3 linked regions of the Alligator mississippiensis genome follow. The protein of the gene in region 1 binds, or shares a complex with, the protein of each later gene. Links are inferred from orthologs where the notes say so. Each region holds a gene or a part of one and is shown in the gene's direction. Other genes may lie near its edges.

Region 1 (8,019 bases):
GGGGGAGGGAGAGCAGGTACCAATACAACCACACATCCAAAGTGCAGATCACTGTTAATCCCTCACAAATATTCCAAACAGGCCGAATACTACAGCTACTCTACACTAGCTAGTCCATGTAACAGTGCATCCCTGAGTTAACAGGCATATTGCATCCAGACTACACTAAAGAGTAAAGCAGTGAAACAACATACCTGTTCCACATACGTTAAACCCCCAAATGGAAGTAATGGAACTGCCACAAAGCTAGGCACATACCTCTGAGCTCTAGCTCAAGCACAGCAACTGGCACACACCCATTCCCATGCTGAGGGAAGTTGCATTACATCTGGGATTTTTAGTATGCACAAAAGCAGCCAGGCTGAGCTCCCTAATGTGAACTGGAGACCATGCCAGGGACGATATTCATAGATTCATAGATGTTAGGGTCAGAAGGGACCTCAATAGATCAAGTCCGATCCCCTGCATAGGCAGGAAAGACTGCGGGGTCTAGATGACCCCAGCTAGATGCTTATCTAACCTTCTCTTGAAGACCCCCAGGGTAGGGGAGAACACCACCTCCCTTGGGTACCCGTTCCAGACCTTGGCCACTCGAACTGTGAAGAAGTTCTTCCTAATGTCCAATCTAAATCTGCTCTCTGCTAGCTTGTAGCCATTATTTCTTGTAACCCCCGGGGGTGCCTTGGTGAATAAATCCTCACCAATTCCCTTCTGTGCCCCCGTGATGAACTTATAGGCAGCCACAAGGTCGCCTCTCAACCTTCTCTTGCGGAGGCTGAAAAGGTCCAGTTTCTCTAGTCTCTCCTTGTAGGGCTTGGTCTGCAGGCCCTTAACCATATGAGTGGCCCTTCTCTGGACCCTCTCCAGGTTATCCGCATCCCTCTTGAATTGCGGTGCCCAGAATTGCACGCAGTACTCCAACTGCGGTCTGACCAGCGCCCGATAGAGGGGAAGTATCACCTCCTTGGACCTATTCATCATGCATCTGCTGATGCACGATAAAGTGCCATTGGCTTTTCTGATGGCTTCGTCACACTGCCGGCTCATGTTCATCTTGGAGTCCACTAGGACTCCAAGATCCCTTTCCACTTCCGTGCCACCCAGCAGGTCATTCCCTAGGCTGTAGGTGTGCTGGACATTTTTCCTCCCTAGGTGCAGCACTTTGCATTTCTCCTTGTTGAACTGCATTCTGTTGTTTTCTGCCCACTTATCTAACCTGTCCAGGTCTGCTTGCAGCTGTTCCCTGCCCTCCGGCATGTCCACTTCTCCCCACAGTTTTGTGTCATCTGCAAACTTGGAGAGTACATTTCACTCCCTCGTCCAAGTCGCTGATGAAGACATTAAAGAGTATTGGTCCAAGGACCGAGCCCTGTGGGACCCCACTGCCCACACCCTTCCAGGTTGAAGCCGACCCATCCACCACAACTCTCTGGGTGTGACCCTCCAGCCAATTCTCCACCCACCGGACTGTATAGTCATCCAAGTCACAGCCTCTTAATTTGTTCACCAGTATGGGGTGGGATACCGTATCGAAGGCCTTCCTGAAGTCTAAGTATACGACATCCACCCCTCCTCCTGTGTCCAGGCGTTTCGTAACCTGGTCATAAAGAGAGACTAGATTGGTCAGGCAGGATCTGCCTGCCACAAACCCGTGCTGGTTTCCCCTCAGCATAATTTGTCCTGCCAGGCTCTTGCAAATGTGAGCCTTGATAATTTTTTCAAAGACTTTACCAAGGATGGAGGTGAGACTGACTGGCCTATAGTTGCCCGGGTCCTCCTTCCTCCCCTTCTTGAAAATGGGGACCACGTTGGCCCTTTTCCAGTCCCCTGGGACTTGGCCCATGCACCACGAGCGTTCCAATATTCCCGCCAGTGGCTCTGCAATGATGTCAGCCAGTGCCTTCAGCACCCTCGGATGGAGCTCATCCGGGCCTGCCAACTTAAAGGCATCCAGTTCTTCCAAGTGACTCCGCACCATCTCAGGGTCTACGCATGGAAGTCTGGTGCCTTGCTGCTGCCTCTCTACAACCCCAGTGAGAGACTTGTCGTGCCCCTCGTTTATTTTTCTAACTCAATTCATTTTTGGCCATATGGCTTTTTGCAATAAAACTGATAACAGGTTCCATTTGGTTGCGACACACATTGTCTGAGCGTTAGAGTGGGACCAACCACATTCGGCAAAAACTACTGCAGCACCCATCACAGAAGTACTACCCAACCCGAATAGAATTAGAAAAAAACTACTTGCAAGTCAAAGCCACTAAGTTCCAGTAACAATCCCAAAGATTTTATAGTTTGCTTAAAAAAAAAAAACCAACTTAAAATAAAACATGAAATTAGTCTAGCCAAAGGATAAGGACATGTCTATTGGACATTAAAGATATTAAGTATTAAGTGCATTACTACCATTATCTCATGTAACAAAAAAGGGCAGAGCCCCCAGAACTTCAGTGTCTTTTCTGGAAAAGAAACAGTGCCTATTGGTGCTGGTCTCCTATGTCAGGGATTAGTACATTTTTTATCATAAGAATTAGTTAAGAATACCCCTGGCTTCAGTAGCTACTTTCCAATAATCAATATACCATTAACCTGCTCTTTGCAAGTGCAATCTTTATCCTGAGATCTTTAAATATTGTGTATATGGGCCTGTAAAATAAGTGGAGGTGTGAAAGGATTAAAATCTAACAGCATATTTCAACACTACAGAAATAAACAACAGACACTGTTACAACAAAAGTTCACACAGAAGCTTCCTTTTACCAGTGATGACATTAGCTTTTAGAGAATGTGTGTTTTTGTACACAGTAAAAGTGAACCGCTGAGACACGTCATGTAACTAATTCCTCATAACCCAGAAAGCAAAAATATTTGCTGAACTAACCTGCAGTAAGTGAATTGCTAGACCAGCAATTTTCAACCCACCCCTCCATAATTTCTCTGAAGTCAGTGCCCTCCCCCCCACCTTTCAACAAAATTAGTTTCTTTTGTTTTTTTTAGACAGTGGAAAAATAACAGAACAATTCTATTGCAAGCAACTCAAAAACACTACAGTTCAGAACGTTTTTGACGCTGTGGAATCCTATTTGAATTCTTTGGACTTATCTTGCAAATCGTATGTAGATCCGTGCACATCTAACAGTGCTAATATTGTGTAGGACCTTGCAACACCCTTAAAAGAATGTCACAGCACCCTGATTGAGAATCACTGAGCTAGTCAGTATTATTTTGCTTATAAGCAGCATCCACATCTGTGTTATTTGAAATAATTAATTATGAGTAATAAATTAGGCCCTTGTGGTAAAGTATACAACATTATGCAGGACACTTCAGCAAAACCACATAGAATGCAATACAAAGGCAAAAAAAAGGTTGCCTATCAAACATATTTGAACAAACCATGTAGTCTCCGATAAGTATGTTTCATTAAACACCATCCTAAGCCACCTTTCAGTTTGATTGCAAATTTCTAAAATCATATTAAATCTCATATCCCTGAGAGCTCTTCACAACACAGCTCTAATTCTATCACACATACCCTTGCATAATTCCAATGGATTGCATGCAGGTGTTCAAATATCAATATTAAAACAAAGAGAAAGCATTAAGTCATAGAAGTGCAGGCCTGGAAGGAAGGATCTTAAAAGATCCAATCCATAAATGCAGTAAGACCAGTGATCTCCAAGCAAGTTGCTGCAGTACCCTGGAGTGCCCCAATATCCTTTTAGGGATGCCACAGGGTGCTATGCAATATTAGCACTTTTCAGCGTGCAAACACAATATGTGATTCACAAGCTAAATCCACAGATTTCAAATCAGAACACACAGTGTCTAAAACATTTTTTTAAAGAAAATTTTTCATGTCCCAAATCAAATCAGCTAAATCAATTCCAAATCCATGAGTCAGCCAAGAACCATATGTGGCTCTGCTACCGGCAAGCATCCTCCATCCCTGGAGCTTCAGATGCTTCCAAATCTGGTGGCGGGCATCCTATGTGTAGGCCCAAGCCCAGAGGCTTGGGATTCAGATGCCCCTGAGTTTTGCTTACTGTCAGCTGTATGGCCACAGGAGTGAGCTAGGGAGGAGTCTCCCATTTCCATAAAATTGGCATGTAGCAGATCATCCCACTGGAAGGGAAACTAGGAGACTAACTATATACATTACCCCAGTTAGCGGTCACAGTGTTTCCCCTGCCAGGTTCTTATACCCCGTCTACAACAGGCATGGAGAACAAGAGGGCACCCTCTTCCAGGCACCCTGCATACATCCCGGCCCCTCTCCTCTCCCTGCCTCCTCCTGCCCAGGCTGGTCTGTTATGGACAAAGAAAATGAACCCGAACTAAAACCCCAGCTCCCACCTTGCACCCAGGAGGTGGCTCCTCGTTTGCACCTGGCACTTATTTTCCCCATTGCCTGGGAGTAAAAGTAATTGCTCTGGAGGTTTCGGGCGCAGTTCTTTCCGTCCCTCCGTTGGCCCTCTGTCGGGGAGGTGGCTCGGCTTTCCATTGCGGCCCCCACCCCCAGCCCCGCCGCCTCTTTGCTTCCCCTGCTGCTGCGTCCAGCCCTCCGCATCTTCCAACCCGTCTCCATCACCTCCCTACCCCGCCCCCACGCCGGCCCAGCCGGCCCCGCCGGGCGTTTGGGACCGCGGGAGGGGAGCTGGTCCCGACACGGGGAGGCGCAGAGTACGAACCACAGCGGACGCCATGGGCCCGAGCTACACCCCCAGCCCTGCCTGGAGGCAACACCAGCTCCGCCGAGCGCACCACAAACGCCCGCAGAGCAGTAGATCACGGGATACCCCGCCCCTCCGCCTAGCCACGCCCACCTCTGCCGCAAACCCCGCCCTCTCCTCCCGGTCCTTCCCATACCGAGCGCTCGGCGGCTGGCCTTTCTCGCGATACATGGCCCTATCGCGGCACAGAGGCCATCTTGGCTTCTGCTCACCGGCACGACTGGCGCATACGTACTCCAAAGAGCCTAGCCCCGGCTTCCGGAAATGGGGGGAGGGGGTTCGTAGGCGCATGCGCTTGACCCTGAGGCCGAGCCGGACGCCGGCCGTTGGGAAGCGAGGGGGTTCTGCGCGTGCGCAGCAGCGGGCTCGGCGGGGCCGGGCGCTGTCGGGAAGCGACGCAGACGCGGGGCGTGCGGCTAGGCGGGAGCAGCGGCGCTCGGTGAGGCGGTGGCCCGCCTTCCCTTTCACCCGTCGTGGCTGCGTCAGCAGTGGTCTGACGGGAGGGGGTTGGCGCCGGGGTGGGGGTGGAGCGGCTCCTCAGAGCCCCCGAGCGGGGTGCCGGGGGCTGCGCAGGGGCTCGAGGGGCCCGGCGCTACGCAAACAGCGTATGTCTGCGTTGGGGCAGGGGGAAGGGTCTCTAGGGCTACAGGCGCCCTGGGTGTGTAGGGCTGGGGGGGTTGGACTAGTGACCTCGGGATGTCCCCTCACACCCCGCTGCTCTGGCACTTCTGCTCGTGGATTCATCCTGGTCCCCAGGGCTGTGGTTAAGAAACTCTCTGGAAAGGGCTTGGGGCCTGCCTGGCTTCAAGCATTTTGCATATGGTGCGTGGAAGGGGTGGGGGGTCAAGTCTGCTTCAGCTTCTTCTGTAGCTCTCACAGCCACTAATGTGGAAGGGCAGCCTTGGAGCGCCTGAGGAAATGGGTGTTTGAAAATGGTGATGTTCAATCTGAAGCCAAGTTCATGGTTAATCGAGCAGTCATGATCCCTGCCTCACTGTGTGGAGCTGAGACATGGATGGCGTACAGACCTGTTTGCCACTTTAAGGGTTTGTGGGCCAAAGACCTGTGGGTAACATACAGAAGACGCCTCAATGCGCTGGAGAAGTGTTGTCAACGCTGCCTGCAGAAGATCCTTCAAATCTAGTGGGGAGGCAGACGCACCGACGTTAGTGTCCTCTCACAAGTGAACACCATGCGCATTGAGGCAATGATTGTCCAATGTCAGCATTGCTGGGCCGATCGCATCATCTGGATTTGTGACTCCAGACTCCCAAAGCAAGTTGCATTCTCCCAGTTCAGGCAAGGTGTACCCTCAAGAGGAGGGCAAGGGAAGTGCTTCAAGGATGTCTTCAAGGCTAACTTGAAAAAATGCAAAAGTGATATCAGCTCATGGGAGATTTGCCCAGCACTGCGCTGAATGGAGGAAGAGTCTGCTGCAAGGATCTTAGTACGTTGAAACTTCAAAATGACAACAGGAGATGGAAAAATGGGAGTGGCAGAAACAGTGTTGTGGACTGAACCAAGAACCCAGAGCCACCCGCCTTGCATGGAAACGTATGCCCAAGTTGCAGTGGTGTCTGTCAATCCTGGATAGGCCTTGTCAGCCATCTTTGGACCCACAGATAAGATGATAATGGAAGATGGTCATCCTTGACTGCGAGGGATTGCCGACGATGATGGTTATTATAAAACAACTGGAAAGGAAAGGTATAGTATAGTGTAGTGGTATCATATATGCAGTCTGCTGAGCTCCATATAACGCAGCCCCTGGTGGTGCCCCTTTTGCTGCACTAGAGCATCCCCATGCTCAGTGCCTGGGACATGCGCTGTTAGCAGCACCTCTCTGACTGGACCAGATTTCTTAAACAGCAGCTCATCTATGATGGACGTGGAGAAGAAGAGTGCCATCCTTTTCCTGGCAACCTGTGTGTACTGTTACCCCTCTCCTCTTTCCCGTTTACTTGTACGGAGGCTGGTTTGTTGCTGACAAAACTGACCTGAATTAAAACCTAGTCCGGATGCAATATTGACATGCCAGTGAAGTCAGGGTTATAATATATGTTACATTGGCTGGCTAGTGTGGAGAAGCTGTAGTATTTTGCCTATTTGGAATATTTGTGAGGGATTAACAGTGATTTTTCACACTCTGGGTGTGTGTTGCTTTCTCACACGTGCATATCCGGCACATTATTTGTGCCCATTGCTAACTGTTCCCAATTATACCATGAGTAAAAACAACCACTTAAGGACATTTCTTGCTCAGAAGAAACTACTTACATAGCTATTAGGAGGGCTGTGCCACCTGTGCTACATTAGCCAGGCAGATGTGGTGGGGCGGCAGGGTAGAATGGGATCTGTAGGCCTGATCCAGCATGCGGACTGGGCCTGCACCAGGGGCCAAATGAGTTTGGCACCCCAAAATAGCATATATAGTGTTTGAAACTGTTCATATATTGTTTTAACATATTGGGGGGGTTTACGATAACTCTGACTTTATCAGGGGTTCTCCAACCTAGCATTGCTGTTGTTAAACTCACAAAAATAAGCACAGCAAAATGTTATCCCATATGATGTATCTGGGAATTCTAAAAGAGAAAACATCCTTTGGAAGGGAAGGTGAATGTTGGGGCTGACCAGCCTTAAATTTACATTTACAGCTTTTTAAACTTATATTTGCATGTGTTCCTTGAGCAATAACATTTGCTCCCCTGTGAAGCACTCTGTCATTTGTTCTTGATGTGCAGTGTTTGTGCTTTGGATGTATAGGTGCAGTAGTATGGTTATGAAAGCTTCTGTAGAAGATGATGATTCAGGATGGGAGCTCAGTATACCTGACAAGATGGAAAAAAGTAATACCAGCTGGATAGATATTACGCAGGATTTTGAAGAGGCTTGTAGAGGTGAGTTGTACTTTTTGCATTGCTGCAAGATGCCCAGAGAACTGGAATACTTTGCAAACATGTTTTTCAAGTCTGTTTTCCAGCCTGGGGGATCTAATAGGGAAATGACCTCCAGTATGGTTTGGTCCCATTGATTATATTGGGGCTTTGCAGATTCAAGGTTCTGCCTATGCCAAGCTTCTTGTAGGATTGGGGCCATGAAACTAGCAGCCCCTTTTCAGAAGGTATATGTCCTCCATTGTATATGGCTGTATTTTTCCATATGCTTTCTCTGTGCCCATCTGGCTTTTCCATATGCTTTTCCTGTTGTCTTGAAACCATCTTGTGCTCTTCCACCCCACAAACGCTTATTAATGGGAAGCTTTGCATATTTAGGATGGACCTGT
Region 2 (6,087 bases), on another chromosome or scaffold:
GCAGCCCGCTGGGCAATTAGCGTGTCAGCCCAGGCGGCATGGAGGTCACTAGGCCGTCTGCTACGAGGTCTGGTGTCCCCATGGCTCCTGCCCAGGGCAATCCCCTCCTGCAAAGCAGCTGTTCCTCCCCCACCGCTGTTGCAGGCCACGTGTCTCACTCCTCTCCCTGCATGCCTGTCACTACCCAGCCATCCCCCAGCTGCCCCCCCCAGCCCCCTGCATGGAAAAAAACAACAATCCCCTTTCATTGCAGCTCTGAGCCAGGACTTGATGGGGCTGGCTGGCTGGCTCTCCCCAGGTCCCAGAGAACAACACCAAGAAAAATCAGAAGACCGTCCCCCCACCCCCCAGCACTCTTTTTTTTTTTACATTCTTTTTGGCTATTTGGGGTACAAAGGAGCTGTTTCCGTACCCACTTTCAACTCTGAAGAGACAAATAAGAAGGGCCCGGATCTCCCAACCACGAGCCGTGTCAATCAGCAAACGGTCTCAGCCAGGACAGCCCAGAAAAAAAAGAGATCTAGGGGGACTGGGGGCTCCTTCCACCTAGAAGGATTCTTTCTACCCAGGGGCATCCAATTTGTCCTTTCAATTGGACCCGGACCCAGACCTGGACCCATCTCCAGCAGCAGGGAATTGTGGGTTATTCATTGGCTTTAAATGAAGCCTGAGATTGGAGAGATCTGATTCATCAAGGTGCCGGCACACGCAGCACCTAGTGCTCCAAGGAGAAGGGAGCAGGCCTGCCTCTCGGCAAGTGAACTGGGGAGGGGACAGCTACACACATTTTTGGGGGTTCTGGGGGTTCGGGGGAGGTGGGGAGCAGGACCCAGTTCCAGGATAAAAAGGAGCAGTAGAGTTCTGGGTGGGTACCAGAGTGGCCAGTTATAGTGCAGGGGTGCAATGCCTGAAGAACTGCCCCCATTGTCATCTGCTCACTGCCAGGAGGCTTCAAGTCAGACTAACAAGCCTGTCTGCGCGTCTGCCCGGGCTCTGCTTCCTGCGTGCCCCTTGCCCCTGCTTCAGCCTTATTTTGGGGGGAGAGAAGCCCTGGCCTAGGACCCATCTTGCCCCCTCCAGGTTCAGAACCAGCTCCAGCATCCGTCCCCAGCACCATGTTTGCTGAGGATACTGAATAAATCCCCAGGCCCTGGAATCCCAGGATTCGGGCCGAGATGACCCCCTCGCCACACAGCCCCGCGGTCCCAGGACAGGAGGGCTGGGAGGCTGCGGCCTTCCCAGATGTCACGGGTCCAGCTGCCCCAAGAGGGCTCATCCCAGTCTCCCCCAGGTCAGGACCAGCCCAAGAGAAGGCCCCTTGCCCTGGCAGCAGCCCCCGCCTTGCGTCTGGGGCAAGCAAAGCCACAGCTGTCCCCCTGAGGGGAGGACACCAGACACATCAGGGCTGGTCCCCTCAGCTCTGCTGGCCCTGTTCAACCAGGGATGCCTGCCCACCCACCCCCAGAGAGGGAAGGACACCTGGTATAGCCGTCCTTCCTGATGGGAGGGGCTGGGGGGGGGAAGAGGAGGAGACAAACCCCAGGGGCAGTCCCGGACCCGCAACTGATGTTCAAGCGCTGACCTCTAGTGGCTGGACTGGAGCTGTACCCAGTGGAGCCAGGCAGGGGAGCCAAACCACCACTGCAAGGGTCAGAGTGAGCCACCGTGGGGCATTTCTGGCCGAGATTTTTGGAGACTGGGGGGGTCTCTGCCCCTGGATCCCCCGACCAGGCAAGGCCAGCTCTGCTCTCTGGAAGGAAGGGCCAAGGTGGGGTCAAGACCAAGAATATTTATTTGTGTTATGAGCTAAGATGAGACTCCAGCACCCCTGGCTGGACGTCGGGGGCATGGCCAGGCCTGGAAGAGAAAGGACAGGAGGACAGGGTGGAGGGGCCACCTGCAAGTCCCCCCCCCACCCCACACAGCCAGGCACGACCCCCCTCCTCCAGGATCGGGCCCTGGTGCTGCACAGACTGCACAGGGTCCTGGCTTCCCCCTGCTCTTCCCATCTCAGCATCGGAGCTTTTACCAGCCTCCACCCCGCCCAGAGCAGGATGAGACCCTCACAGGGCCTGAATTGACACCAGGCCCCCCAACAACAGCAGGGGACCAGGCCCTGCCACCCCAGAGAGAAGGTGGGCACACAGGACTGAGCCCCCCCAAGTAGGGCCAGGATTTGAACCTAGGACTCCTGTGGTTCCCGAGAGCGCTGTGTCCTGCCCTGTCTCCTGCGCACCAGGCGCTGTACAAACCCCACAGAGACCCCAGGGTGCCAGGCGCTGCCCAGGCCCTACCTAGAGCTCGGTGAGGTCGTCATTGAAGTGCAGCAGCAGGCCAGGGGCATGGAGGCTGGGGTCGAGGCCAAGGTGCCAGAGCTCCTCATCGTCATCAGTCAGACCATTCTGCTCCAGCGTGCGCTCCATGTCCAGCACAGCACCTGCATGCTTCCACGTGTAGCTGCCCGCATGCGCATTGTTAGGCAGGTAGCGCCGCAGGATCTCCCACAGCGACTCCTCCGCACACACCTGAGGGGGGCGGTCATGGGGGCACTGAGCATGGGGAAAGCCAAGGCAGAGACCCCTCGCAGGCCCTTCAGATCCACAGACCCCTCCCAGCCTGGCATTAGGGCCCCCAGTGATCCACAGACGCCCTGCCACCCCTGCCCTTGGGCCACACAGGTCCCTCCCAGCTCACCTCAAGCATGTGCTCCTGGGACGTGAGGGTGTTGATGACACGGACAAGCCGGGTCTTGGCCGACAAGATGCCCACCTCGTACTTGACATCCTTCCACCACGGTACCCCAAAGTCGTTGGCCCAGTCAGAGCGAGGCAGCAGCGGGGGCACATGCAGGACCCTGCCCTGGGGCGTGTAGTATCTAGGGCAGCCTGTCAGAGGATCCACGCAGGTCTGCAGCTGCAGGGGGGTGGGGGGAGCGGGGAATGGACCCCCCCATCATGGCAAAGAGATGGGGCTAGTTCTAGGGTGCACCCGACTTCACATAACAGGGACCCCCCCTGGAAAGGAAATGCAACCAGCTCTGGGGATGGGCAGCTGTGTACAAGGACCCCCCATTTGTGATGCAGGCAGCTCTCAGGGGAGGCTGTGTATACCACACCTTCTCCCCCACAGCCCAGGGCTTCAGTGCAGCCAGCACTGGGGTGGAGCGGGAGCTGCCTACCCACCTGGAAGGTGCAATTGCTGCCCCATGTCTGGCAGGAAGGACAGGAAGTAGGGGAGGAAATCCTTGCCCCCAAGAGTCCCTTTCCCCTGCCCTGGCCCCTGGCAGCACCTACATCTCGCGTCTTGGGGTTGAACCAGTGGGTGATGTCTGTCCCCGCCGCCTCCAGGATGGGCCGCAGCAACACGTCACCTGGGGGTGGGGCAATAGAGGGGAGTTAGTTGGGGGGCGTGGAGCAGAATCCTTTGCACCCCAGGATCCGCCCTGACAGCTGGAGAGGCCTTGCTGTGAGACTGACTCTGAGGCGAGTCATGGCTGAGTGTAACAGAGATCCCTTCCTTGGCGCTGAGATACAGCCAGCTCTGGAGTGGGTCACAGCTGAGTATAACAGATCCCTCACTCTGCACTCAGATGCAGCCAGCTCTGAGGTGGGCCACAGCCAGTTGTAACAGGGTCCCCGATCCTGAGATGCAGCCAGCTCTAGCTTGGACAACAACTAATTATAACAGAGGCCCTTCACTCTGCACTGAGATGCATCCAGCTGTGCAGTGGATCACAGTTGAGTATAACCGAGACCCCTCACTCAGCACCAAGATGCATCCGGCTCTGGGGTGGGCCATGGCCAGGTGCAAGTGTCCCCAGCCTTCTGAGATGCAGCCAGCTCTAGGGAGGGTCCCAGCTGAGTATAACCGAGACCCTTCACTCAGCACCCAGCTAGTCGACTCTGGGGTGGGGGGAGGGGCCTTGGGGGGAGAGGCCAAGTAGAGGAGGGGGCCTGAGACCCACTGGGGGGAACCGGAAGTAGCACAGACCCATGGGGGGGAGGGAAGAGAATCCCACCACTCCGGAAGTGGGTGGTCCCGGAAGTGTGGGGAGGGGGGATCCCGGAGATGGCGGGGGGGGGGGTCGATGCCGGAAGCGGGTCGGGGAGGGCGGGCGCGCCCCGCCTACCCTCGTGCTCGCGCGCCAGTGGGGTGAGGTCGTGCACGCGCCCCAGGAAGCTGACCCAAAGGTCGCGGGGCCGCGCGTGCGCCTCCACCTCGCGCGGGGTGAAGTAGCGCGGCCGCCGCCCGGGCTCCATGGCGTCACACTACCATAGCAACCAGCTCACCCTTCCCGCCCCAATGCGCATGCGCAGCAACACCCGGAAATGGCGCAGAAGGTCCAACGTGAGTTGTAGTTCTAAGGCCCGCCCCACCATTCCCGCCGCGCAAAGGTTGTCGGGAAGCTCCTCGTCATCCCTCCTCCCGCGAGCCGCGCAGGGACTGCCGGGAAGGGGAGACTCGGCGGGGCCATGGCGGAGTCGCCGGGTGACAGCAGCATCCCCGGGGTGAGCGCGCGGGGCTGGGAAGATCACGTGGTGAGGGAGGAGGCGGGGTCAGGCGAGCCACCTCCCCCCTTCGCCAGTCTCCCTCTGCGCAGGCGCAGAGCGAGGGAGATGCCTCGGGCGCATGCGCACAACACGAGTAGTGACATGCCTGGACCCCTCGCGCAGGCACAAAGGGACGCTGAGGCAGTGCAGCTGGGGGCTGTGACGTATTTATGGACCCCGCTCTCGCCGCAGTCGCAGTGTCTAGATGTGGGAGTCATGTGTCCCTGCAATCTCACGCAGGCGCAGAGCGAGGCGGAGCCGCTGGCGGCGCAAGCGCAGAGCGAGGTGGGCTCGGCGCATGCGCGGGCGCGGCGGCGACTGGAGGCATTGCTGAACCGCAGCCTGCGCGTGCGTATGTCGGACGGGCGCACGCTGGTTGGCTGCTTCCTGTGCACAGACCGCGACGCCAATGTCATCCTTGGCTCCGCCCACGAGTTCCTTAAGCCCTCGGGTCCGTGGTGCGGGGCTTGGGCAAGGAGGGGTGGGATTTAGGGGAGGGAAGTGCTCGAGTGGGGGGGTGGGGCTTACGGGCGAAAAGGGCGGGGTTCTGGGTGGGACCAGGGGGTGGGGCTTAGGGTGGATTGGGCGGGCCTTCGGGAGGGAGCGGGGCTTGAGCAAGAAGGTGGGGTTACGTAGGGGATAGGCCTTGAGGGGGTGGAGCTTAGGGAGGGGAGCAGGGGGTGGGGCTCTAGGAGAGGCTACTGGGTGGGACTGCAGCTTGAGCTCTAACCCCAGCTCCTCCCCCTTCCTCCCCCAGACTCCTTCTCAGGTGCGGAGCCGCGAGTGCTGGGCTTGGCTATGGTGCCTGGGCACCACATCGTGTCCATCGAGGTGGAGCTGGAGCCGTCAAGGCCATGACCCCACCCAGAGCGGAGCATGCTGGGACATGGCCCCCCTTTGGGCACTGTGGAGCATGTTAGGACACAGCCTCCCCCTGGCCAATAAAGGCAATGGGACCCACTGCCAGCCCGGGCCTCATCTGTATAGGGGGGGTGGCACTGGAACGGGTGCCCCTCACTCCTGCCCTGCAGCCCCCACCTCCTCATGGTATTGACCCCCCCTTCCCAACCCCTGTTTTTTTCTTGGCCCCCAACATAACCAGACCCCCACCCCCATCAGGGACCTCCCCACCCTGGTCACTCTGGCCCTGTCCACTGGGTCACCCCAAGGAGGGTCCTCACCCCCTTTCCTCACTGCCCATGGGGACCCCCTCCCCAAGATGAACCTCCCATGACCTGTGACCTCCTGACCCTAGCACCCCTTGGTGTACCTGACCCTGATCTCCCCATCCCTTTTGCCCCCAGGAGGGACCTCTGTCCCAGCCCTCCAGGGGCTTGTGACCCCAGCCTCGTCTTGGAGGTCATGGCCCCCCCTGAGGTCACTGACACCCCTCTAGCTCCCTGTAATGGCTAGGCCTCCTGAGGCAGCTGTCACCCCAATTCCCTCTCCCCTCAAGGTCCTCCCAACCCCTTCTCACTGCTATGAGATGAGATGACCCGACCCCCACTTGAACACCTGGGGTCCGTCCTGAGATGCC
Region 3 (6,987 bases), on another chromosome or scaffold:
AGAAGCAGCAGTTCAGTGCTTCCCACAAGACATCTTCAATGTGCTTAAATCTAGGAGAGAGAGAAGAGAGAGTTCATTTTTCAGACCATACATTTATTTTCCTCTGTGCTGAAAGTGCCAACAATAATGGTATCCATTCAGATCCAAAGGGATGATAATTATTTTGAAGTGGACACCTGTTCCTCATATATAATCCCTTTGAGAACAGAAATAACCTTCCTAATATATCTGAAAGTACCATTGCCATGTTCACACAGCCTGCAGAAGTCCCTTTCAAGATAAATACTAGAAGAAATAAAAGGGAGACTTCTCTGTAGGCACACTGCCTCAGTACTATGTCAACTAAAGTGTTTCTTTTCAGTGCAATTGATCTCATCCACACTGGCTGTATTTTTCTTTTTTTTTTTGTTACAACAATTTATAGTTTTATCTCTAGTAATGCGTGTGTGCTTTTTACGCACTTCAGATTTCTAAAAAGCAAGAAGCTCTCAATGAGGTAGGGAGCATTATATTTTATGATCTTTCACAGCAAATTTATGTGGGAGAGGAAAGTTGAACTTGTGGTTAAGGCACCGGTGAGATCTATTTAGTTTCTTGTTCTACTGCAGACATGTCTGACCTCGAACAACTCACTTGCTATTTCTCTGCCTCACTTCCCCAGCTCTGGTGATAATTCTGCTTCCTTTTGCCCCAGCCATTCTCTCTCTATGCAAACTTAAAGCCCTTTGGGACAGAGATTGTTTTTGTTTTTACATGCTTATACATTGACAGGGGCTCATTCTCATTACTATAGACCAAATAATAACATAAATAATACCAAGAAGACAAGGACAGTCACTGGATTAAAGGTAGGACTTTGTGAATTGTTTATTCATAACCATTGTCAGTAATAAGTCCTCACCTTAACTGGTGTTGAAAATGGTTTGGCGGCGAATATAGATGAGTCAAAACCATTTTCAGCATTATTGCTGAATAGATGAAACACATTATTGTCTGAGAATATGTTTCAGATGGTGCATTATTTTTTCCAGTAACAGCTAAATCATTTTCAACCTTGCTTGACAGCAACTGTCAACAATAGATTGCTTTTCTAACATGGCTGGGATTGCAACATTCAGAAATAAACATTCCCAATTCCACTCTTGCAAAATTGTAACTGTGAGTAAAATGTGTCCATTGGTACAATAAGACTTCTTTATACAATAGCTCAGTGTTTCTTTTTGTTCAAAGGGGTGAAATTCACCCCATCCGCATACAGTTGGGTATTTGGGCTCCATACAAGCACAATGCAAAGCAACTGTGAGATTTGAAAGGTCAGTGGTACTAGAGATAATATACGTTATTTTTTTTCTACAGGAAATCTAAAAATATATATTTAAATATAAATGAATATAGGTCCATTTTCATTCTTGAAGGTTTTCCATTATTCTCTGTGGTTAAAGAAACATTGAATCATTTGTTATAAATCTGGTATTTTATTTTTCTGAGAGCTCAGCAACTCAAAGACGGAAGCTTGAAGTACAGAGGGTTTTTTCCTAGTTAAGCAACCTGTTATGGCACATACAGCAATGACTAGTTTCCTTTAAAATCTAGACTTGTCATTTTCTCCAAAAAAATGACAGTACATGAAAATGAATGAGTTCTACATTCAACAGACCTGCATAGTCCCTTTTTTAATCTTCATGTCTCATGTATTTGAGGTAATCTTTAAAGGAACTCCTTGTTCTGAAGGATTGCTCTTAGTTTCTGAGCAGAATTTGAACTTTCAGTGATAGCTTCTTCCAACCTCCTTTGCTTGTATCCTCTCAAATTCTGTCACTTGCAAAAAACAGGCAGGGAAGTTGATTTCTATTTACATGCACTCTTTGAGGTTCCTCCACACGGCAGAGTTAAATGACTTTCTTTGAAACAACGACAAAGAAAGCTTACAACTGTCCCCACCCCACTGGAAGAAGGAGCGGTTTGGCTAGTATATTCCTTTGGTGGAATAATAACAATATTCATTCTTTCCGGCCAGCAGAAGAGCTGAGCTACTCTTAGTGATAACACATTACCAGCCGCAGGAGTTATCATGGCCACTCAAATGGCTTTGCAGAGCCCGATAAGGGTAATTAGCATCTTGTGGCCAGCTAGATATGATTGAATCCTACTAGGGAGTGTCCCAAGAGCAATGCTGCCAGTGTGCATCCCTGTTCCTAACACCAGTCCATTGAGTGACGGAGTGGCAAGGGAACAGGAGAGGCTGCAGATGCCAGCTATAAAAGTTTTACTGTTTTAATCCCAAATCCCACATGAGTTCTGTAAAGGGAGATCCTTCTGCCCAGCAGCAGGCAATACTGGAGTGTCAGTGGGCAAGTGTGGGTATGTTCACGTGGTATTATACAATGCGGTGATCCTCCACCACCTGGGATGCCCTGAGGTCCTTTCAAGCAGCAGTGGCCTTAGGCTTGTTGGGGCCCTGAGCAAGAGAGTCATTCGGGGCCCCTTACTGGCTTAATTTTGATGACCTATAAGCAAGTTGGACATTTGTTGCAAAAGTTTGGGGGCCTCTAAAGTGTGCCTTGCCGAAACCACCTTGCCCCATCGCTGCCCAAGTTCTTTGCAACAGACGGGCAAAGTCTTTTTCCAACGTGTTTTGAAATTTATTTTTGAGTTGCCAAAAAAAGCCCAGTGAACGCAAAAAGCTGGCATTTTCCTCATCTCCAACCCCGCGTCTCTCGAGTCTCAGGTGGGGAACCAGGGTGGTAACAGATCAGGGCCGGTCCAAGGGTAATTGGTGCCCTAGGCGAACTGTGTACCTCGACATCCCCACGCTTCAATAGAGGAAAAGAAGAAGTCTAGAATGAACTTTCACATGTGCTTATTTGATTTTCAAAATGAACAATAAAACAATAAAAACTAATTTTTGTTTTTAATTGTTTCACACTTTCCATGAACCCTAACACACTTATAACAGCTGGCCAGAGCTGTTACAGGCAATCCCCGCCTAACCCCGTTTCACTTCGCACTATTTCGCTGTAACGCTCGTTTGAAATCGATACCTGGTTCCACTTCGCGCTCGGCCAGTTTCGTTATAACGCTTGCGCTCGCCCTCTCGGGTCGTCAAATCCTGCCGGTTTCGCTTAACGCTCGTTTCACTGAACCCTCGGTTTTTCAGGAACCGATTCGGAGCGCTAAGCGGGGGACGCCTGTATTTAAAATAACGTTCCTGTTATTTTGTTCTGCGTCTCATTTTGGTGCCCCCCCACCCCAAATTTTGGTGAACGCTGCGTGCCCCTGGAGGCTAGGGGATGGTGAGCTCCTACAGGCGGCCACGGCGGTGTTGGCGACCACGGGAATGGCAGTCTGCAACCACCCGCAGACGCCACCGAAACCCTCTCAGCAGTGTTGGCGTGCCTTTTCGCAGGGGGTGCCCCGCCACGCCCAGGGGTGCCCGTGCACCCCCTACATGTCGCCAGTTTACCGATCCCGAAAGCTACCTCAGCACAAAGCCCTCAGGACCCCGTCTCACGGCCCCCAGCACCACGGCCGCGCTCGGCCGCCATTCTACGGACGGGTTGGCGACTGACTGGATTCCACCCTTATTCTCTGGGTCTAAAAACACGGGTGGGGGACGATCCCAGGGCCAGCTGCACTCACGTTGGCGGTGGGGCGGGGGTGACGGCCCCTTCCCCTTGCCTCTCCCGGAGGGGCTGAGGAGAACCCCGCGAGCGAGCGAGCGAAGGGTCCCGCCCCCACCTCCAGCGCGCGCGGCTCCTGATTGGCTGGCGCTGCCTCGCGCCACACCCCGCTCCCAACGGCTGCGCCCTGCCGCGCCTGCGCAGATCCCTCCCCTCCGCATTCTCCCGCGGCTCCCCTCGGCGCGTGTCCAGGGCCGGCCGCCAAGCGCAGCTGCGTCGCGACGCGCTGACAGGAAACCTGTCCGCGGGTCACGGCAGCGGCGGGCGCGCTTTACGGCCGCTGGATGAGTGGAGCGGGGAAGCCGCGGCGCTGAGGAGACGCGGGGGTGAGCGCGGCCGGGGGGCGGCGGCGGCGGCCGGGGGTGGGGGGAGGACGGGAGAGGGAGCGGCGCGGCCTACCTTTGTTCGCACCCCGGCCCGGCCTGACGCGCCGCCCCCCGGCCGCGGGCCGGTGTCTCCCGCAGGACATGGCCGAGGTACCGCCGGGGCCTAGCAGCGTCGTGGCGGTGGCGGCGCCGGGCGACGCGCTGTGCCCGCTGCCGGGCGGCGGCGGCGCGGGCGCGCAGGACGACGAGGCGGCGGAGGAGGAGGAGGAGGAGGAAGGCCCCGGCAAGGGGGGGCCGCCGCCGCCGCGGCTCCTGCACCCGCACCCGCCGCACCACAACCACCAGCTCAACGGCCTCCTCAGCCCCGAGCTGCGCCGCCTCCGCGCCTCCCTCAAGAGCAAGGTGCTGAGCGCCGAGGAGGGGCCCGTCGCCGCCGCCAACCACCTCCCCCCGCCGGGCAGGACTGCGCCCCCCGCCGTCGGGGCCGCCCGCAATGGACTGGCGGGGGGCAGCGGGCCCGAGGAGGAGGAGGGGGAGGAAGAAGAGCAGGAGGACGAGGCGGCGGAGGAGCCCCTGCTGCTTCTCACCCGGTCCTTAGCCGCCGGCTGCAGCTTGAAAGGCTCGGGGACGGACTCTCGGCCCGAGGAGGACCCCACGATAGGATACGTGCGCTACGAGTCCGAGCTGCAGATGCCCGATATCATGAGACTGATCACCAAAGATCTGTCTGAACCCTACTCCATTTACACATATAGGTATTTTATCCACAACTGGCCCCAGCTGTGCTTTTTGGTAAGTGCCGGGCGCGGCGGGGGAGGGGAAGGGAGCAGAGGCGAAGGGGAAACTCTTTTTCGGATGAGTCTACCGAGGCGCGCCTGCATTTTTTTTTTTTTTAGTCGCGCGCCCGGTCGGGTTCGAACCCGGGGTCTTGGAGCGCGTGGGTTACGGTCGCGTTTCTGACGTCGGCTTTGCGACCTGCGGCCGCTCACTTCGTCTCTTCCTATCTCGGTTTCCACCTTTGTGAAAATTGAAATAGCGCTTCGCCCACGTGCGTAAGTAAGGTAATGCCAGCATCGCCTTTGTAAAGCAGAACTAAGTCAGTCGCTTCGAACCGTCTGGGTTTGTTTTACGGATATAGCGGGGAGGGATGGGGGATCAGAGTTTTGCAGGTCTCGCGCTATTTGATTTGCCAGATTACTCTAAAATGCAGCTTATGCACAGCCGTATTTCTCGGTGCAGCACGCAGCAGGATGGCTGAAACCTAGGCAGTGTCATGCTGGGTTAGGATGGCTGTACTGTGCTAACAATGCATCTAATCTGGTATCTGGCCGACAGTTTTGCTCCAGTAGTCTGTTTGTCAGTGGCTGGCAATCTTTGTCTAAAAGAAGCAAGTTTTAAAGCTACTTTCATGGTGAAAAGTTTGGTGTTGCAGTCTATACGTGCGAACTTCCACACCTACATAAGCTGGCTAGGGAACCATACTTGCATGATTAGGCCTGCAGATATTTAGGTGCATATTTGAATTTTCTTTATGTGAGTTCTCACGTGTCTAAAAGCATACGTGGAGCTGTTTGGCACTTCCCTACTAACGGAGAGTTCACTACTTGATGCCTTAATCAAGACTGCATGCTTTTCCAGACAATACAAGCCCAACTTATTAGACTCAAAAAAGGGGTAATGGGTTGAAAAACGTAATGGTGAGGTATACAGGAGTTACATTTTTAAACTTTGTGTATGACTTCCATTTAACCTCTGTCACAACTTAACCGTCTGTCTCAGGGTTTCCAAAGCTGTGTGCACACCTTAGTCCTAAAAAAGGGAGTAGAGGTGGTTGTGGGGAGCTGTGTAAAACATATAAAGCTTTGCACAAACCAGACCCAACAAATGTAAAACCATAAGGGGAAGACAGGTTTATATTACGTGAACACTGACACTTGCTGTGGTGTTAAACGCTGGAACCGCAGTTGATGATCGGTTTGGTGTAGAATAGTACGAGAGCGATGGGCAGCAAGCTGCTGTAGCTGCTTATTGTAAAATCGTGTTAAGCCTCTACCTGGTGTGCATCTAGACTTGTCTTTATACCAAATAATCCCAGCCCTTTTTAAACCACTTGTGTGATATGAATTACAAATAATCTGTGTGCACACACGATACTGAGTTGGGACAGAGTCTATTTACAGATGTAAAAACCCCCCAAGAAAAGGTGCTTTAGTTAAAACTCGGCACATCCCTGCACTTTGCCCAGCACATGCCCAAAAGAGGCATTGCATTAGTTGGACCCGGGTCGCCCAACATCTGTATAGATCGGGTGCTTCAGCAGAACCTTTTTTGGCATTTTTATCTGATAGCTGATTGAATCAGCTATCAGATAAAAGTGCCAGAAAGCCCCACTAAAGCACCTGATCTCTATAGACGCTGTGGGACCAGGTCAAACCAGCATGCTTCCTCTTCCGGTAAAGCATGGTTCTGGATTTTTTTTTTCATGTCTGTCAGCAGCCTGGATGTCTCAGCTGTAATCAGTAAGGCCCAAAGGCACTGTTGAATACAGCGTAACCATATTAGATGCATCACTTAGTTTTTGTAGCTCAGTTCTTGGCGAAGAGTGATTTGGGAAGATCATTTTGTGAAAAGGACAATGGCATGCAGACCCAGTGATGTCTCAAAAAAATCCTAAAAATATAAAAATCTGGACAAATAATGTATGGTTTATATCAGCAGATTCAAAACCGGTGAATAGAGTGCTCTGAAATATAATGTATTCTAAGTAGTTTTGCAATATCTGTGGTGGTAGAAGCGAACTCAGATTTATCTTTCAGCAGTAATTTTTTTTCTTTTTCTTCTTTTAGTTTGAAGCCCTGAAAAAACCAAGAAGGCTTGATTACTTACATTGGCAATGTTAATGCAGATATCTCTTCTATATTTTCTGTCCCTGTGAGTCACAGAACAGTGTAAAACACATGGCTCATGTAAAAATCTTAACC

What was found.
Region 2: the proteins of NAA35 (region 1) and NAA38 are in contact, whole or in part, in a cryo-EM structure (PDB 7MX2), measured with the Homo sapiens proteins. The link is inferred for Alligator mississippiensis from reciprocal best matches to the Homo sapiens genes NAA35 and NAA38. Residues at the interface, in NP_001308810.1 of Homo sapiens: Val30, Asp31, Ile32, Thr33, Phe36, Ala39, Cys40, Leu43, Leu45, Glu47, Leu48, Leu49, His50, Asp51, Phe54, Glu58, Ala59, Ala62, Ile63, Glu64, Met65, Met66, Ala72, Gly73, Met74, Gln306, Arg307, Leu309, Pro310, Pro311; in NP_001307854.1 of Homo sapiens: Ala41, Arg42, Leu45, Glu46, Leu48, Leu49, Arg61, Phe67, Leu68, Cys69, Thr70, Asp71, Arg72, Cys74, Ile77, Arg97, Val98, Leu99, Gly100, Leu101, Ala102, Met103, Val104, Pro105, His108, Ser111, Ile112, Glu113, Val114.
Region 3: the proteins of NAA35 (region 1) and NAA30 are in contact, whole or in part, in a cryo-EM structure (PDB 7MX2), measured with the Homo sapiens proteins. The link is inferred for Alligator mississippiensis from reciprocal best matches to the Homo sapiens genes NAA35 and NAA30. Residues at the interface, in NP_001308810.1 of Homo sapiens: Leu45, Gly46, Leu48, Leu56, Ala59, Met60, Ala62, Glu64, Lys69, Glu121, Phe313, Pro314, Arg315, Ala444, Leu510, Glu511, Leu512, Glu517, Pro605, Lys606, Phe607, Glu608, Leu609, Asp610, Val614, Arg615, His618, Arg619; in NP_001011713.2 of Homo sapiens: Glu221, Pro238, Ser240, Tyr242, Thr243, Arg245, Tyr246, His249, Asn250, Lys304, Ile324, Glu334, Asn335, Leu336, Gly337, Val339, Arg340, Asp341, Lys342, Arg343, Phe345, Arg346, Tyr347, Tyr348, Leu349, Leu359, Trp360, Leu361, Arg362.

What each region holds. Positions count from the first base shown.
Region 1 is NC_081826.1:204,256,520-204,264,538, forward strand, and holds the start of NAA35 (N-alpha-acetyltransferase 35, NatC auxiliary subunit), read left to right. Parts: upstream 1-4,968; 5' UTR 4,969-5,172; intron 5,173-5,519; exon of another isoform or gene 5,520-6,440; intron 6,441-7,499; 5' UTR 7,500-7,509; coding exon 7,510-7,633; intron 7,634-8,019. UniProt on the Homo sapiens protein: Auxillary component of the N-terminal acetyltransferase C (NatC) complex which catalyzes acetylation of N-terminal methionine residues. N-terminal acetylation protects proteins from ubiquitination and degradation by the N-end rule pathway.
Region 2 is NC_081838.1:24,904,075-24,910,161, reverse strand, and holds NAA38 (N-alpha-acetyltransferase 38, NatC auxiliary subunit), read left to right. Parts: upstream 1-4,368; 5' UTR 4,369-4,472; coding exon 4,473-4,508; intron 4,509-4,673; coding exon 4,674-5,001; intron 5,002-5,307; coding exon 5,308-5,408; 3' UTR 5,409-5,511; downstream 5,512-6,087. Other genes in the region: cytochrome b5 domain-containing protein 1, read right to left, coding at 2,295-2,525, 2,695-2,913, 3,294-3,370, 4,130-4,259.
Region 3 is NC_081825.1:294,637,870-294,644,856, forward strand, and holds the start of NAA30 (N-alpha-acetyltransferase 30), read left to right. Parts: upstream 1-3,917; 5' UTR 3,918-4,006; intron 4,007-4,144; 5' UTR 4,145-4,147; coding exon 4,148-4,798; intron 4,799-4,805; exon of another isoform or gene 4,806-5,067; intron 5,068-6,852; exon of another isoform or gene 6,853-6,987. UniProt on the Homo sapiens protein: Catalytic subunit of the N-terminal acetyltransferase C (NatC) complex. Catalyzes acetylation of the N-terminal methionine residues of peptides beginning with Met-Leu-Ala and Met-Leu-Gly.